Linked DNA regions of Caenorhabditis elegans. The protein of the gene in region 2 purifies or fractionates together with the protein of the main gene of each other region. This does not show direct contact. Each region holds a gene or a part of one and is shown on either strand. Other genes may lie near its edges.

Region 1 (6,820 bases), on a different chromosome or scaffold from region 2:
ACGGCAATTGCCAAAAAAAAGGCACAATTTTAAGTGTTTCCGTCTTGTAAAAAAATCCCTCTAAAAACTTCTGGATGTTCGGCAAATCGTCGAATCAAAATTTCCGGCAAATTAGCAAACCAGCAATTTTCCGATTTGCCGAATGGCAAAATATGCAGTTATGGCTAACCCTGAAGGGTATAACTCATAATATTAAGCAAACTTTCAGATTAACAATTCCACGGCAGATACTACCTGCCCTACAAGTATTTCAGGCTCTTTTCCATCGAAAATGCGGAGCATGTGGGAAACTTTCACCAATTCAAATTATAACATCACTTTTACCGGTGATCTATGGAAGTTTTCTTATCAAGGTGACTTCCCCACAATATAAAAATTCTCAAAAATCTCAAATTTCAGATAAAGTTACGCAGGCTGGGAGCAACTACGCCCTACCGTACACTATTATATTTCCCGACGGGCATTTTAAACTGAAACAGAGTATTGTGTTAATTGGTTATCCATCAGAACAGAGGTGGTTCCTCAATATAGAATCATCAATTGGAGAAGTCCTGTTTCATTTCAACCCGAGACCAGAAGTCAATGAGGTAGGCGGTAGGCGGTAGGCGAGCACCCAGTGCGATAGGTAGTTGTTCGGCAGCGGCCGACACTTTCGGGGTTCCGCACTAAATAAAGATCCATGGTGGCTGGTGGCGTGTGGCCAGCGAAACCCCGAAAGTGTCGGCCACTGCCGAACAACTACCTTATCGCATTGCGCCCCTCGCAGCCCTAGGCGGCAGGCATGCAGGCATGCTTCTTCTTCCAGGTTGTCCGGTCAACTCATCGAAACGGAGTTTGGGAAATGTATGAGAGTAGTGGAGGATATCCATTTACAGCTGGGCAACAATTCAATTTGACAATTACCAATAGCATCAGTGATCTACAAATGTACATTAATCAAGTATGGTTTGCTGATTATAGACATAGAACTCCGAATCCTGCTGAAGACTATGTGAAGTTGTGGGTTCAGGTGGCAGTGTACGTGGATTCATTGGAGATTTTGGGATGAGATTTAGAAAGATTTTCTTATAATAAAATCATCTGATTATATTGTTTTCTGATTTAAAAATACGACAATTACCTACAGATCCAGACTGATTTGGAACAAAATCACGGGGTTCTGGCCTTCCTCATTGAATTTTTCGCCGCGCTCTATTGACAATCGCCCACCGGACAACGCGTGGGAAAGTCGTGTACTCCACACGGACAAATGCATTTAGTTTTACCACTAAAATCGAGTCGCGACGCGACACGCAACGCACCGTAAATCTACCCCAGATACCACCAAAATGGCCTAGTTCGGCCAGAACTCTTCCATTTCAATTTATGAGGGAAGCCAGAAATCCGTGTAAAATCGCCAAAAAACAAGTCAATTAATTTTCCTGTTTTTTGTTACTTTCTAGTTGCTGTTAATTTAAAAATTAAAAATCAATAACGGCTTTATTTGAAATCAAATTTTTTACTGTTTCTTAATTCTTCAATTTTCCTGATAACTAGAACTGCGAGATCAGATTCTTCAAGCTCGCGAATGACAAATTCTGACCGGTTTTGCTCAAATTGCTCCAACGAAATCGGCATTTTCAGGAAGAACTCCAGTGTGCTCCGAACCTGAAAATATTCATTTTAAAAGCCTTCGAGCTCACTCTCTGCTCACCACAAACTCCTCGTCTTCCTTCAAATGCTCCGTGAGCACAGCTACCGTAGTACCTGTCACCGGTGACTGGTTATAACTTTCCGTTATAAATTTTTTGAAGGCCTCCAGCTTCTCCTGAGCCATTTCCAGATGCTCCGTGTGTTCGAGCATATCCCATAGCTCGAGAGCACATTTGATGCCATGCTGGTAGATCAAATATTGAATATTGTATTTTCGGTATAAAGCTAATGATGGAGCAAGGGTGCCGAGCAAGGTGATTGCGCTGGTGATCTGAAAAGTTTTCCAGTTAGAGTAGGCACAGAATAGGCGTACCACACTTGGGAAGCTTGCCTGACCATTCTAGGTTGAATAATGCCTTCTTGCCTGGTACAGGTGTCAAAGTGTCCCATTTTGGTTTGATCTGCGAAAAATGCGGGAGAAAAAATTCCCGCATTTTCTGTAGATCAAACCGTAATGGGACAGTCTGACAACACGTGCTGTAGGCAGGCATGTGCCTGCCTGCCAGGCTGGAGCAACTAATATGTATTACTTACCTTTAAATTGTCTTCCGTTTTCAGACATTCTGCCAGATAAAGCATGCAAATTTCCATCACAATTGGATTTTCACCCCCCTCATCCTCCTCATCTTCCACAAAAATTCCGGAATCTTCTTGCTCAAGCTGCTCCAAAATCTTCATCACCAACTCACTGGCTTCTTCTACTTGCTCCTGAACTTTCATTGCTCTTTCCAGAATTTCAAGTCGCTCAATTTCCTCTAACTTAAATTCTAACTTGCTCAGAATTCGACAGGAGGATCTAACAAGTTCCATGTTTTCCAGATTCATAAGACCTATGAGGAGTTGGAGCACAAGTTGAGAGCAATGCCGATTTGATCCGAGATGCTCCGCGAGTTTTGTGAGAAGTCTTGGCTGCTCCGCTTGAAGTTGCTCATTTTTCCACTGAAGAATCATTGACTTGAGATTCATGGCAAATGGGTTGTAAGGGCAGTTTTGGGTTATGAGAAGAGGGATATTGTGTTTTTCGAGAGTTTCCATAGATACTTTATAGTTATTTAAGTCTTTGATTGCTGGAGAGATCTGGAATAAATTGGAAATTTAGGGGGTTTCTGGTATTTAAATTCATTTAACTTACCATCTCATCATTTTCCGACGCTATGATTTTCGCCAAAACGTGCATTTTGTAGTTTATTGTGCTCATTTTTGGCGGTGGAGAAGCTGAAATTTAAATTTTTAGAACAGTAAAAAAAAAGATTCAGAAAACAAAAAAGCTTGATACAAGAACAATAATGTTTATTTTACTGAAAAATGCTCAATTAAAAGACGTTGAACCAATTTAGAGGAGTTTCAAAATTGTAAATTTTTACAATAAATTGCCAAATTTTAATAGTTTTTGATGGGTTAAACCTAGGTTTTCTGAATTCTCGGGACAATAAAAAAAGGGGTAATAAGGGAATAAAAAAATAGAAATAAGTGTGAACCTACACGGCCACCCTGCTCTTTTGCCTCCTTACAGGCGTCGGGTGTAACTTGGTAGATAAGATGAGAAGGTGCGTGTGGGAATGTAAGTGCTGGGGTGGAGGTTAAGGGGAAATGGGGAATATATAGGATTAGATAATATATCTAGAATTTTAGATAAACTTTCCCACTTTCCCAGCGATTTTAAATGGACAAAACTGTTTAAAAACCCGAAGGATATGGAATTTTGAAAACATTTCTGCCGAAAAATTCATTTTTTTTTTCTCGTATTTTTCCGTTGTTCTTGATGAGAAAGTGTAAATCAGGATTTAAATAAATTTAAATTCAGAAAAAAAAAATTTAAGTGCTCTGTACGACGGCACCGCCGTCGTCCAGGACAGATTTTAAAAAATTCATTCAATCCGAAAATCGGTGATCTACAAAAAACGCGGGAAACGAGACGCAGAGTCGAACGGTTAAAACGTGCTGACGCCACACTTTTCTAGGCGAGAATTCCCGCATTTATTGTAGATCAAACCGTGATTGGACAACCTGGCACCACGTGGCTGGAAAGAAACTGCCAAAATTTATATAGTTTTTTTGTATTAAAAAAATTAATTCCAAATTTATTAAAAATCCATATGTTAAGGAAAAGTTCGTAGAAAAATAATTTATTGAAATAAAAATTCGAGTTCACTAGGCCAAAGCGAATAGAGCACCAAATAGAATACTTGTCACACATCCGAACACGAACCACCAAGGAATTCTGGAATTAAAGAAGGGATTTGAGGATTTTAATATAGGTAGGCACGCCTAGTAGCCTACAAGTAACTGAGCAGCTTTAGCTACATGGCCTCATACCTCCAGTACCCCTACAGTGCACCTACAGTACCTTGACATTATCCCCCACCAACTCCCAACCCACTATCTCTTCAAAAGCTAAAGATTCAAACTTTCCTAAACTACAGTAATCCTACCGTATACCTACAGTACGCCTACAGTACCACCACAATACCTTGATATTATCCCACATCAACTCCCGACCCAATATCTGTTCAAAAGCTAAAATTCAAATTTTCTCAAACTACAGTAATCCTACCGTATACCTACAGTACCCCTACAGTACTACTACAGTACCTTGACATCATCCCCACCAACTCCCAACCCAATACCTGTTCAAAAGCTAAAATTCAAATTTTCTCCAACTACAGTAATCCTACCGTATACCTACAGTACCCCTACAGTGCACCTACAGTACCTTGACATTATCCCCCACCAACTCCCAACCCACTATCTCTTCAAAAGCTAAAGATTCAAATTTTCCTAAACTACAGTAATCCTACCGTATACCTACAGTACGCCTACAGTACCACCACAATACCTTGATATTATCCCACATCAACTCCCGACCCAATATCTGTTCAAAAGCTAAAATTCAAATTTTCCCAAACTACAGTAACCCTACCGTATACTTACAGTACCCCTACAGTACCACTACAGTACCTTGACATTATCCCCCACCAACTCCCAACCCAATACCTGTTCAAAAGCTGAAAATTCAAATTTTCTCAAACTACAGTAATCCTACCGTATACCTACAGTACCCCTACAGTACTACTACAGTACCTTGACATCATCCCCACCAACTCCCAACTCACTCTGTGTACTGTCAGACAGGTTCTATTTGGTGCCAGGCTGCCCTATTACGGTTTGATCTACAAAAATGCGGTAATTTTTTGCCCACAAAAATGTGACGTCAGCACGTTCTTAACAATGCGAAATCAGTCTCTTCTCCCGCATTTTTTGTAGATCAACGTAGATCAAGCCGAAATGAGACACTCTGACACTGCGCGTGGCCACGTGCAATTTCTGTAGGTCCACCGAGTGAGAAGCCACTAACCTGTCCAATCTCTCACGTTCATTTGGATTCTTTGCCTTTCTCCTTTCCTTCTGCTCCACCCGAACATCCAGCTCCTCCGGCTTTTCGAACTTCTTCGAGAAATTCGCAAAGAATACGTCAAGCTCCCTCAAAGCCACATTCGCAAAGTGCACACGGTAGGAAGTGAAATCCAAATCCAACGAGTTCAGTGATACATTGACATTTCTCAGAATCTCCTTGACAGTTACATTTGTTACAAGTCGTGCCAGCTCTCCAACAGAATTCCCTATTGCTTCGAAGTCTCCCTCGATGCTAGGAATGCTCCGAGCTTGCACAAAAAGTTGTTCGTAATCCTCGAGAACAATAGACTCTATAGAGTCTGTAGCCTGTTCTTCGAAGCCTTCCAATGATAGGTGAAGCATCCGGAATTCTGATTTCAACAGTACTATTTTCTGGAGATTGTACAAATGAGGAACGTCATCCATAACTGATACAGATTCTATGAGAACATTAATATTATCTATGACATACTTCAACTGATCCTTCTTCTCCACCAAATCGGATAGTTTTTCGAGTCCTTGAACTGCTAGGCGAAGATTCTCAGCGTAAGATTCTACATCCTTAAACTCTCCCAGAGCATCTGTTTCCACTGTGTGAAAATTCTTCATCGCTTTCATATGTCGCTTCATCACGAACATATCATCTACAGCGGATGTAGAGTTTTTAAAGACACCTAGGAGGTTGTTGAATGAATTTTGATACGTTGAATTGTAAACATGATCGCTGATCCTTTTCGTCGCAATGCTTAAAGAAGCTTTGTATTTCAGGTAGGCGTTATTTTGAAGGCAGTTGAAATAATCAGCGTACTTCTCTAATTCATCTTTGTGTTGTGAATATATCCAACCGATGTCCAATTGAGCGTACCTGGCATAAACATTAATGTCATGTATAGGAAAGGTATTGATGAGCTCTAATTGTTGATTTATCATTGATAAATGTGCCTTTAAACTTTTTAGCTGTCCAGTTTCGTTAAGTTTCTTAATCACAACCGTTTCATGTTCCCTGTGGATTTTCAAAAAATCTTGTCCAGCATCCGAGTTCCCCGAGAGAAAAAAAGACAATTTTATGGCCAGCATAGTTAGGTTATTGAATTCTACTTCTATCTCATCAATAAACATTTTGAGATCAGAAATAGCTCTAAATCTAAGTTCTAACGGAGTACACTCTTGGTCAGCAGCAGACATGTGATCATCTCCAGGAAAAACGTCGAAGTTGAACATCTCAATGATGCTTCGAACGCCACCAGCAACGTCGGTGAAATTCAGCCGCCTCTGTGCTCTAAGAAGAGAGCTTTGGAAAGCTGATAGTCGACTTAACCCCTTTCCTAGAGAATCACTATTTACCACACTCCTGATCCAAGCGTCACTGAGCACTTTATCAAATTCTGGGAGGCTGAGAGATTTGTTATGTCCTTCCGGGGCAAAGATCTTCCCAATAAGTGGGCCTAGATCAAGAAACATATGCACTGCAGAATTGGTGTAAATGGATATATACTTGTTAAATGCGGCTTCTTCCTTTTTGGTCAGATTCAAGTTATCCTTGTATTTCAAATGCTCCTCCACGCCTCGAGCAGTTTTCAAAAATGGAGCGACTGCCTGGATAGTTGAAGTGTATTCATGGAACATCCAGATGTCGGAGGTCGCGTTAAATGAAGTAGACAGTGATGTTAGAGCTTCTAGGGCTGTGGATAACTGGTCAGCTTCCAAAGTTGCAGAATTTAAAATACTTGTAAGA
Region 2 (8,968 bases):
CCAAATTTTATGTGATTCACCATTTCTCTCGATCATGTTTATTATTCCGTGAAATTACCACCTCCATGATGATATTTTCTTTCCAAATTTACCAATGATTAAAAATTTACTGATTTTATGTAATTTGTGCACAGATCTGGTTTTTGAATCTTTTTGATTTTCATTTCCACCCGATTTCTTCCCTTGCAGCTCCGATTTGCTTTAATTTCTTAATTTTCCGTCTTCGATTCCTTACTTTTGTCTATCAACCTTTCCAATTATGATAACTTCGCCCCGTTTCTATTTTGTTGCAATATTTTACACAGTTTGATTAATTATACAAGTTCATTCAAACAATTTTCGTGCACGAAACTGATTGTTTTTTTGTTTTGATCTTTTTCAATTTCCACTTGATTCTTGTCTCATCCCAATTGCTCCGGCTGGCTCAAAACTCTGACCTCTTCATGTATGTTTTTTTTTCAACGTTACCCGTAAATCATTTCATTTATGATATCTTCATCCCGTTCATACTTTGCATGTAATGTGTTGCTCAAAACTTACAGTGTTCTTGTACTAAACTGACATTTTATGTATTCTCTGATTTTCATTCCCATTCAATTTTTTCTCAACGTGGCTTCCCCGATTTTGTATTTGTGCATGTTTGATTTAAACTTATTGTTCTTCCATAAAAACATTGATTCGATATATTCAGATTTATGGATTTCAGGTAGGGGTGGCAAGAGTGCGACCTAGGTCGCTAGGTCGCTGTTTTCATTTAGGTCGCATCGCGACCTAGGTCGCATTGCGACCTGCGACCTAGCGACCTAGGTCGCTTTGCGACCTGCGACCTAGCGACCTAGGTCGCATTGCGACCTGCGACCTAGCGACCTAGGTCGCTTTGCGACCTGCGACCTAGCGACCTAGGTCGCTTTGCGACCTGCGAGCTAGCGACCTGGGTCGCATTGCGACCTGCGACCTAGCGACCTAGGTCGCTTTGCGACCTGCGACCTAGCGACCTAGGTCGCTTTGCGACCTGCGACCTAGCGACCTGGGTCGCTTTGCGACCTGAAGTACTGACATTTTGTGCCCTTTCGGTTTTGATTCACTTGAGTTGTTAAAATCTGTATAACTCGAAAACTACATAAGATTGCAGAATATGTATACTAACAAATTGCTACAAATCATTTATTTTACATTGTTTTCGATTTCTTATCCATAAGACACCTTGTCGAAAAAAGTTAGAACAGCCGACATAGGCCGGATTTGCTGCTGACTAAAATTGTTTCAACTTGAAAACTATGGTACTTATGGGTTTCAATGATTTGTAGCAATTTGTTAGTATACATATTCTGCAATCTTTAGTTTTCGAGTTATACGGATTTTAACAACTCAAGTGAAGCAAAACCGAAAGAGAACAAAATGTCGGTAATTCAGGTCGCAATGCGACCTAGGTCGCTAGGTCGCAGGTCGCTAGGTCGCAGGTCGCTAGGTCGCAGGTCGCAATGCGACCTAGGTCGCGACGCGACCTAACCCTCTAGGTCGCAGGTCGACCTAGGTCGACCTATAGCCACCCCTAATTTCAGGAATTTGAGAGTTTCAAGGTAAACAAGAAAAAACAAAAGGAACAATTGAAAAATCGACATCCAAAGTTTTTGAGACTTTTATTTTGAACAACTTCAGGAAGCTATCTAATTTTTTATTGCGAAATACAAATTTACCGTATTTTTCCAACTTGTCTCATAGCTCTATCGCTTCACTTTATCAGTTAGTACTTTTGTCATTTTTGGTTTTACCAAAGTTGCAGCATATGAAATACTTTTTTTTAAAAATGTTTCTCCACAGTTTTTCCGTTTTACCGGCTTACTTTTTTGGCAACAAATTGTTTTGTTTTCAAAACATTGGCTTTCGTCCTCGGATTTTTGTAAGACTACGTAATAACACTAATTCAAATTCTTTTATGTTTCCCAAAAAGCAGGCAACTTGATTTGAGAAAATTATGGTTATAAATTGCAATGTTGTGCTCTGACAAATGTATTCATATATTTATGCATTTATTTCCTTGGCCTTTTTTGTCAAATGAAAATATTTTCAAATCAAGATAAATCAAGAATAAAGGCTGAATGTACACACTGTTGATTTTCATACATATTTTCTACTATACTTTTTTTTAGATCCCCAAGTAACTATGACCTTGTGGTTAAGACTTTTTGAGAACTCTTTTTTTACGAACAATAACCATCTCACTAACGAGATATGTAATTTGATTTACCACCTTTCGGATACGCGCGTTCACCATTCCAGTAATGTAAACATATTCATTGATTGGTGCATCCGCTTTCGTTACTGTGAGCCCCTCTCCTCTCAGGCCTCCTTCCTTCAACTGTTGCTGCGCCCATGCCCATAACACTTTCTCTCTATCTCTCTCCCACTCTATCTCTAGCACACTAACTGATCAACATAAACCATGTCGCTCATCTTTATTTTGTCTTTTTTTTTTACTTTAATTGTGATTCAGGACAAATTAACAGACATTTCTCGCTACTAGTTTTTGTATGGAAGTAACTTATATCGGCTGTTCGAACGGAGCAAAGAAATTCATTCAAAACTGCATTTACTCGGTTTAAGTGACTCTGTTATTGCCGCTGGTATGATTCCACTTCTGTTTCTGTACGAAATCATCCCTTTAAAAATTAATTTATGTTTCTGTAAACATTCTGGCAAGAATAATTTTTTTCAGAAAACTTCATCGTCAATTTTTTTTGTTGGAAACAATCAACATGCCCAAGCGGTTAGTTTTCATAAATTTTTTATCCTAGGTGATTTCAACGTTGCAAACATTTTGAAAATTAAAAAAAACTAATGCAACGAATAATTGTTGCTTTTAATATGCTTTTGTTCTCAGACAGGAAACTCGGCTATTTTCTAAGCTATTGAATCTAGTTAAATAAGAAATATTTGAAACGGAGTTTTAACTGTATGTAAGTTGGCATAGTTTTAGTTTATAAAATTTAAAAGTTTAATAAGTCTTTACTACTCTAAAAAAGGGAATATTTGAAAATAAATTCAGAAATTGTTTTCCAGTAACTGATGGTTTGAGGAAACTCGTTTCTTTTTTAACATTCAAAATGGACCACGCCAGTATATGGGTTTTTATGTATGGGTTTTTGGGACCAACTCAATACACATATTATCTTAATTTCATTCAAAATAATTTTTCGGGGAGGGGCTCCATTTGTTTTTTAAATGTTTGGTGTCACAACCAACATTGAAAAAAAGTAGTTCCCATTTTACATTTTCAATTTTTTTAAAAGTATCCAACATATATACATCTTACATTTGAAATATAATTGTTTTGAATGCAACATTAAATAAAAGTTATTTTCAGAAATAAAAACGACGAACACGATGAGCTAGCAAAAAGGAGAAAATCAAACAACTGGCTCTACGAGCTTGATGAACTATTTGAGATCGAAAATATCCAGAAAAAGAATGCCGAATACATGTAAGTCCTTAGGTTAAAAAATGAAAAAAGCGCTTCATACTGATTTCTTTAAAAGTGGACTACGGCTTGTGGGGATATGATTAAAAGTTATTTAAATCGAGCTAAAATGATCAAAGATCACGAAAGCATTTTCAAAAAAAAATTGGTATTATTTCAAGTAAAAAAACGGAGAAATCTCAGTTTGCACTATTTTTTAGAAGTCGTCAATCAAAAAATGTGTTTTCTTCCAGTTTCACGTTCTAGGTAGTTTTGAAACATTCATACTTCAATATTGTCTGCGACACTGCTTTAAAGTTTTCGACACACTCAGTTTCCACTACTTGTCGGTTCGAAATAAAAAAGTTTCGAATTTGTTTTGAAAAGTTTTATTACAGTCATTAAATTATTTTGGCATTGTATTCGTTTGTAATACTGTTCATTTATATATTATAATTGCAATTTCAGGTTGTTCAAATCGTCACCCCAGAAAAAAAAGAACGTGGACTCCAAGTAAGTGTTTATTACATATATCAAATTTTTTCTTAACAGAAGTAATGTTTGAATTAATTAAACATATCAAAATTTTTAAAAGTTTAATTTTCTAAATTTTTAGAGTCGTGCTCAAACCAGACGTCAACCAACGTGATGTCTTTTTGGAAACTGGAAACAGGTGAGTAGAATTTTTTTTTTTTTTTTGGGTTAAAAAAATTTTTATTTGAATTATACTAAATCCTAAACCGAAACTAAATCCGTTTGTCATATTATCCAATTTATATATTTGCAGTTACAATTCGTTCAAATCGTCAGTCCAGAAGCAAAAGAACCCGGTCTCCAAGTAAGCGTTTATTACCGTATATTCTCTATACGTGCTGCGATGCAGCACTAAATTCCAGAAACTTTTTGAATGCAGCACTATTATAGACTTCAGTACTACTGGAGGCTGCAGCACTAATTTTCGCACCCCTTTGTCAATTGGAGATCGCTAGCTTTTAGTCACAAAATCTCATATTTTAAACACAAATTCATAAGGAGTGTGAATTTGTGTAGCAAAAATAAATGATACTTCAATTATGTTTATAAATTAAAAGTAATCAAAAACAAAATAAACAAAAACATTACCCAAAATTTCGAAACTGTTGAGATGACTCTCGCAATAAAAAAGGGGTGCAGCACTAACTTTCTGAAGGCCTGTTGGGGTAAACATTTAGAAAATTTAGAGCGCGTGAAATAATTTTATTATCAAGGTTTTATTCTAATTTTACAACATTTTAGGGTGATACTCCAACCAGACATCAGTCAACTCAGTGATTCTTCAGATGCGGAGGACAGGTAATACGAATCGGTTTTAAGTTTCACGTTTACAAATAGTACTGGAACGAATAAAAAATTTTATTTTCAAATACGACAACGAACATTTTTGATTTAAACATGAAAAGAACGAAAAAGACAAAAAAGTCAATTTTTAGCTGTAAATATGGAATCGAAATCTGGGAAAACGAGGAAAACTGCCAATTGCCAGTGTAAGTCGAAAAGTTTAATACAATTTTAAAAATTAAATTTCAATATTCTTTCAACAGAAACGCGAACTTTTGAATTTGGCTTCTTCGGGTTATGCTTAAATTTTTTAATTCTTCAAAATGAAAATAAAATTCAAAAAAATTTCACGATCTTATTCGAATTTAATTACTTTTTTTTTGAAATTAAGACAATTTTTCCCATAATTTCCTTAGAATTAGCCGTTTTCAAATTAGGACTAGCGGTAGCAAAGTGCTAATGAAGAATATACATACATACTTTTCCAGAGTCGAAATTAAGGAAAAATTTTTAAAATGTTAAAATTGAAGTTATCAAGCCTACTTAGAATGATTTTCTTCTGATAAATCACATTTTTGCCTATTATTGTTTTTAGTGTTAAAAAGGTTTTAATTGCAGCAAACAAACACTTCCTGAACAGCCGGAAGAGTTTCACATTGGCCGTATCAAAGCCAATCTGAAATTTCTCATGCAACAATTGAAATATCTCTCAGGTTGTGAAAATGGTAGGTTTGAATTTGATAAATACATTTTCTGTTTATAAATATTTCACACATTGCCCTGTTTTTAATAGTCACTTTAATTTTTACAGGGGAACAACACGCTAACGAAATTTTCAAAAGCCTGCCCGCCCAAGTGTGGGACCGAGCATCTCTCAAGCGAGCAGAAATTGCTGAGGATCTTTTGATCGCTGAAGAATTTATCGAGGCTCGGCGTGGTCAGCTTGAGCAGGATGATAAACTCAAAGTTTATTTATACAATGTTTTGGAAAATAAACTGAAGAAGGAAAATAATCCAGTCCTTCTCACTATTGTTCTTCATTTGGAGAATAAATTTCGGCAGTTGAATGCCGCGGATTTTGCCGCTCTAGAGGCTGCGATGAAGGCTGAACTGTGTTTCTAGATTCCAAATCGGTTTTGACATTCCCGATTATCCTATTTAAATTTTTAGAATTTAAAATTGTTGTTGTTTGTTGATACTATCCTCATTACTATGTAATATTGTTGATACTTTTAATCTCTTTTTTCCCGTCATTAAATCTCTTATTCTCTTGCTCAGATGTTCTCTTTTCCCGAAAAACATCCTTTCCCTTCTACCGTTTCCATTGTTTTCTTCTTCCCTGGCCGCAATTTCATTATTCAGATCTATTGTTTTCTGAACGGACCAATTTATCTCATACTTGATTCACGACCTCAATTGAACCATCGGAGTTTGTTCACGTTCCGTTTGATTAAAATCGTCCAACTCCAATTTCAAGCTCAAATATGGTTTCTTCCCTTTTCGGTCCGCTTAATTTCTTTCTCATTTTATTTGTTCAAGTTGGCTCCGAACGTTTCAATTTTCTTTCATTTTTTCTTACTGTTGTCCTTTAACATTTACAAGTATAATATCTTCACTCTTTTTCACATTTTTTATATTCTATCTCCCAAATCATAACTGTTGTTTTCTAATAAACAGAAACAACTATTACTTTATATATTCAGATTTATTGATTTCATAAACTTCAGATCTGCAGCTGCAAATTACAAACAAGACAAAAGGAGAAGGGACAGGACTACACGGCAACCTTGCTACTACTTTCGTATTCATTATTCCAGAGGGTTTCACAGTGTTATGGTTTGATATTGGGGGTTTTACTACACATGACTAATTTGAAAATGTCTCAAGAAAAAAGAAGCACGGATAAGGAGTAAAAATTGCAGTGGGAAAATTATGATTATGATTAAGACAAATGGATGGAACATTTAAAAGTAAAAAAATCAGGGATAGATCGTTATGTAAGCAGGGTTTTCAGGTTATGCCATTTGGTCAGGGAAATGGGAGTTTCAAGAACGGAAGACAGACAGCTTGTAAACTTTAAACAAAAATAGTGAATTGGCATGTTAAGAGAACTCCTAACGGTACTGGAGGCATTCTAGTTGTAATGAATGTTTGAATTCCAGTTTTGCATTACCACTAGAATGAGTTCGAAATATGGAAATTTGATTACTTTAGAAAAAAGTTTAGCACTTAGAAATTAATCTCAAGTTTCAAACACTACGGCTAATGAACGTAAAAATTTGTTCTAATGATATTTGGTTAAGAGATCAAAGATTTTATGGCAACTGGGTGGTATCATGGACGAGAAGATCTGGCTTCATGGACTCCTTGAAGCATTCAAAGTAATATTTGTTGATAATCACTACCAATCGTTCATTTGGTTTAGTGGTTGGCAAGCTTACCAAATCAGCTTCAAAGACGTTGATTGGAATCATTCCACTGAAAACGTCACTATTAGATGAAAAATGTACTGGAAAATTTACTTCTTGCGGACATATGCCATCTCGTCGTCATATGCGGTGTACTTCAAGCCACTGAGCACTTCCTTCATCTTCCAGTTTCCGTGCCGACATCCCACTGATGCGAAGTAGTTGTCCGGAATATCATCAGCAAGACGCGCCTAGAAATCAAATTACAGTTATTTCGTTTCACTTAAAAGAGGACTAATGGTTCTGGGAGTTTTTTTGTTGCTTGTGTCTAATTTGATCTAGAATCATTAACATTTTGAAAGAAGAAGATTTTCGTTCAATTAGTTGTATTTCTATACAAAATAAATGTTGATCGGATAGTTCTTTTTTCTATAAACACTAAAAAGCAAAGAACCGAAAAGCTTGGAAAACTGTGCTCCAGGCCGTAGGCAAAGAACGGATCGACTAAGTATCCTAAGTAAAAAAGTATTTGGTATTATTCATGAGAATTTTTTAATTAATTAAATCAATCATCTTTCTCAAAATTATAACACTGACAAGCGATATCATGAAGATTATAGAAAATAAGTTGCATTGCTGATTGTGTCTAACTAATCAAGTTGCTCTATGAATTCCCGCATTACCTTAATGAATCTATTGATTCCTTGATCAGTGATTATATTAGAAGTGATCTCAAAATTTGTGGCAGTGATGGAATTGAGCTGATCATCAGTAATCTTTGAAAGTCCGTCTAGTTTCAGGTTGGCAGCATTGCGCACTTGCTCTAGTTCCATGATATTTCCGTACTCGCCGGAGCACATTAGGGTGAACTTATTGAGCATTGGACGATGAAGCTTCACAATCTCAATGATGTTCGGGAAAGAATCCATGACAACAGTAAGGTTTTCGGCGGTAATTGTACTTACACACTTTGATAGATCCATCTCTCCCATCTAAAATGTTAGGTAACCTTGTCGAATTTAGCAATTATCTACCTGCTGCGAGCGATTGGTTACAAACAATGATTTGTAGACGCGAATATTCTGGCTGAGCATATTTCTCAGCTCCTCAATTGCCATATTCCGATTGCGAAACAGAGTGTTGTTGGAGATTCCCATGTGGACGGTGGAGTCACCATCGCTACGTATGAGAATGCTGTCGTCGCGCTCACTGAACGTCATTTTGTAGGCGTCGAGCCGAATTGTGTATTTCTGCAATATGAGGATGTGATTGTGTGACAAATCAGCAGTTTCTTACATTTTTATATGTAGTGTTTTTGAGCTCGTGACAGAATTGAAAGTATTTCGCCAGAACTTCCCTGAAAAAAAGATATATGATAAAAATATATGATGAATATTACTAAATGTGTCCAACGCATAGAACGACTATTTTTCCAGCCAAAATTTGGCGCCCAATACGTGACAATCATTTAAAAAAAAAATAGCAAAATTGGGTTAAAAACGCTCCCTAATCTAAAAAACAAAAATGTGCTATGTGAGGCTTAAGACTGCACGACAAGTATGAATGTTTGCTTTTTTCTTCTACATTTTCTTGACTAACCCGTCTGGTCCTTTCAGGAACTGATTCATTGCTTTTGAGGACGACTCTTCGGTTGATGAAGTTGTATCCACAAAAATATGATCACTTGGAACGTGATTACGGGTTCTGAAGTTAATCCTCCAATGCACCAGCTCTGCGTATTCTGGAGAATGCTCCAGTTCGTTCTCTTTATCAGTTTCCACGGACT

Evidence for each region. The genes of interacting proteins can lie anywhere in the genome.
Region 1: the proteins of T24D5.3 (region 2) and C27C7.7 fractionate together in Caenorhabditis elegans (co-fractionation; one large-scale study listed by BioGRID). This does not show direct contact.

Annotation. Positions count from the first base shown.
Region 1 is NC_003279.8:11,418,260-11,425,079, reverse strand, and holds C27C7.7 (RING-type E3 ubiquitin transferase), read right to left. Parts: upstream 2,901-6,820; 5' UTR 2,891-2,900; coding exon 2,825-2,890; intron 2,770-2,824; coding exon 2,227-2,769; intron 1,964-2,226; coding exon 1,694-1,963; intron 1,648-1,693; coding exon 1,480-1,647; downstream 1-1,479. Other genes in the region: C27C7.5 (Galectin), read left to right, coding at 209-353, 400-587, 806-1,048; Y53H1C.3 (uncharacterized protein), read right to left, coding at 3,844-3,913, 5,048-6,820.
Region 2 is NC_003284.9:12,577,318-12,586,285, forward strand, and holds T24D5.3 (RXT2_N domain-containing protein), read left to right. Parts: upstream 1-2,756; coding exon 2,757-2,767; intron 2,768-3,364; coding exon 3,365-3,481; intron 3,482-3,925; coding exon 3,926-3,970; intron 3,971-4,073; coding exon 4,074-4,130; intron 4,131-4,244; coding exon 4,245-4,295; intron 4,296-4,732; coding exon 4,733-4,789; intron 4,790-4,926; coding exon 4,927-4,980; intron 4,981-5,392; coding exon 5,393-5,499; intron 5,500-5,585; coding exon 5,586-5,896; 3' UTR 5,897-6,447; downstream 6,448-8,968. Other genes in the region: T24D5.2 (DUF38 domain-containing protein), read right to left, coding at 7,090-7,252, 7,297-7,433, 7,866-8,174, 8,217-8,432, 8,479-8,539, 8,782-8,968.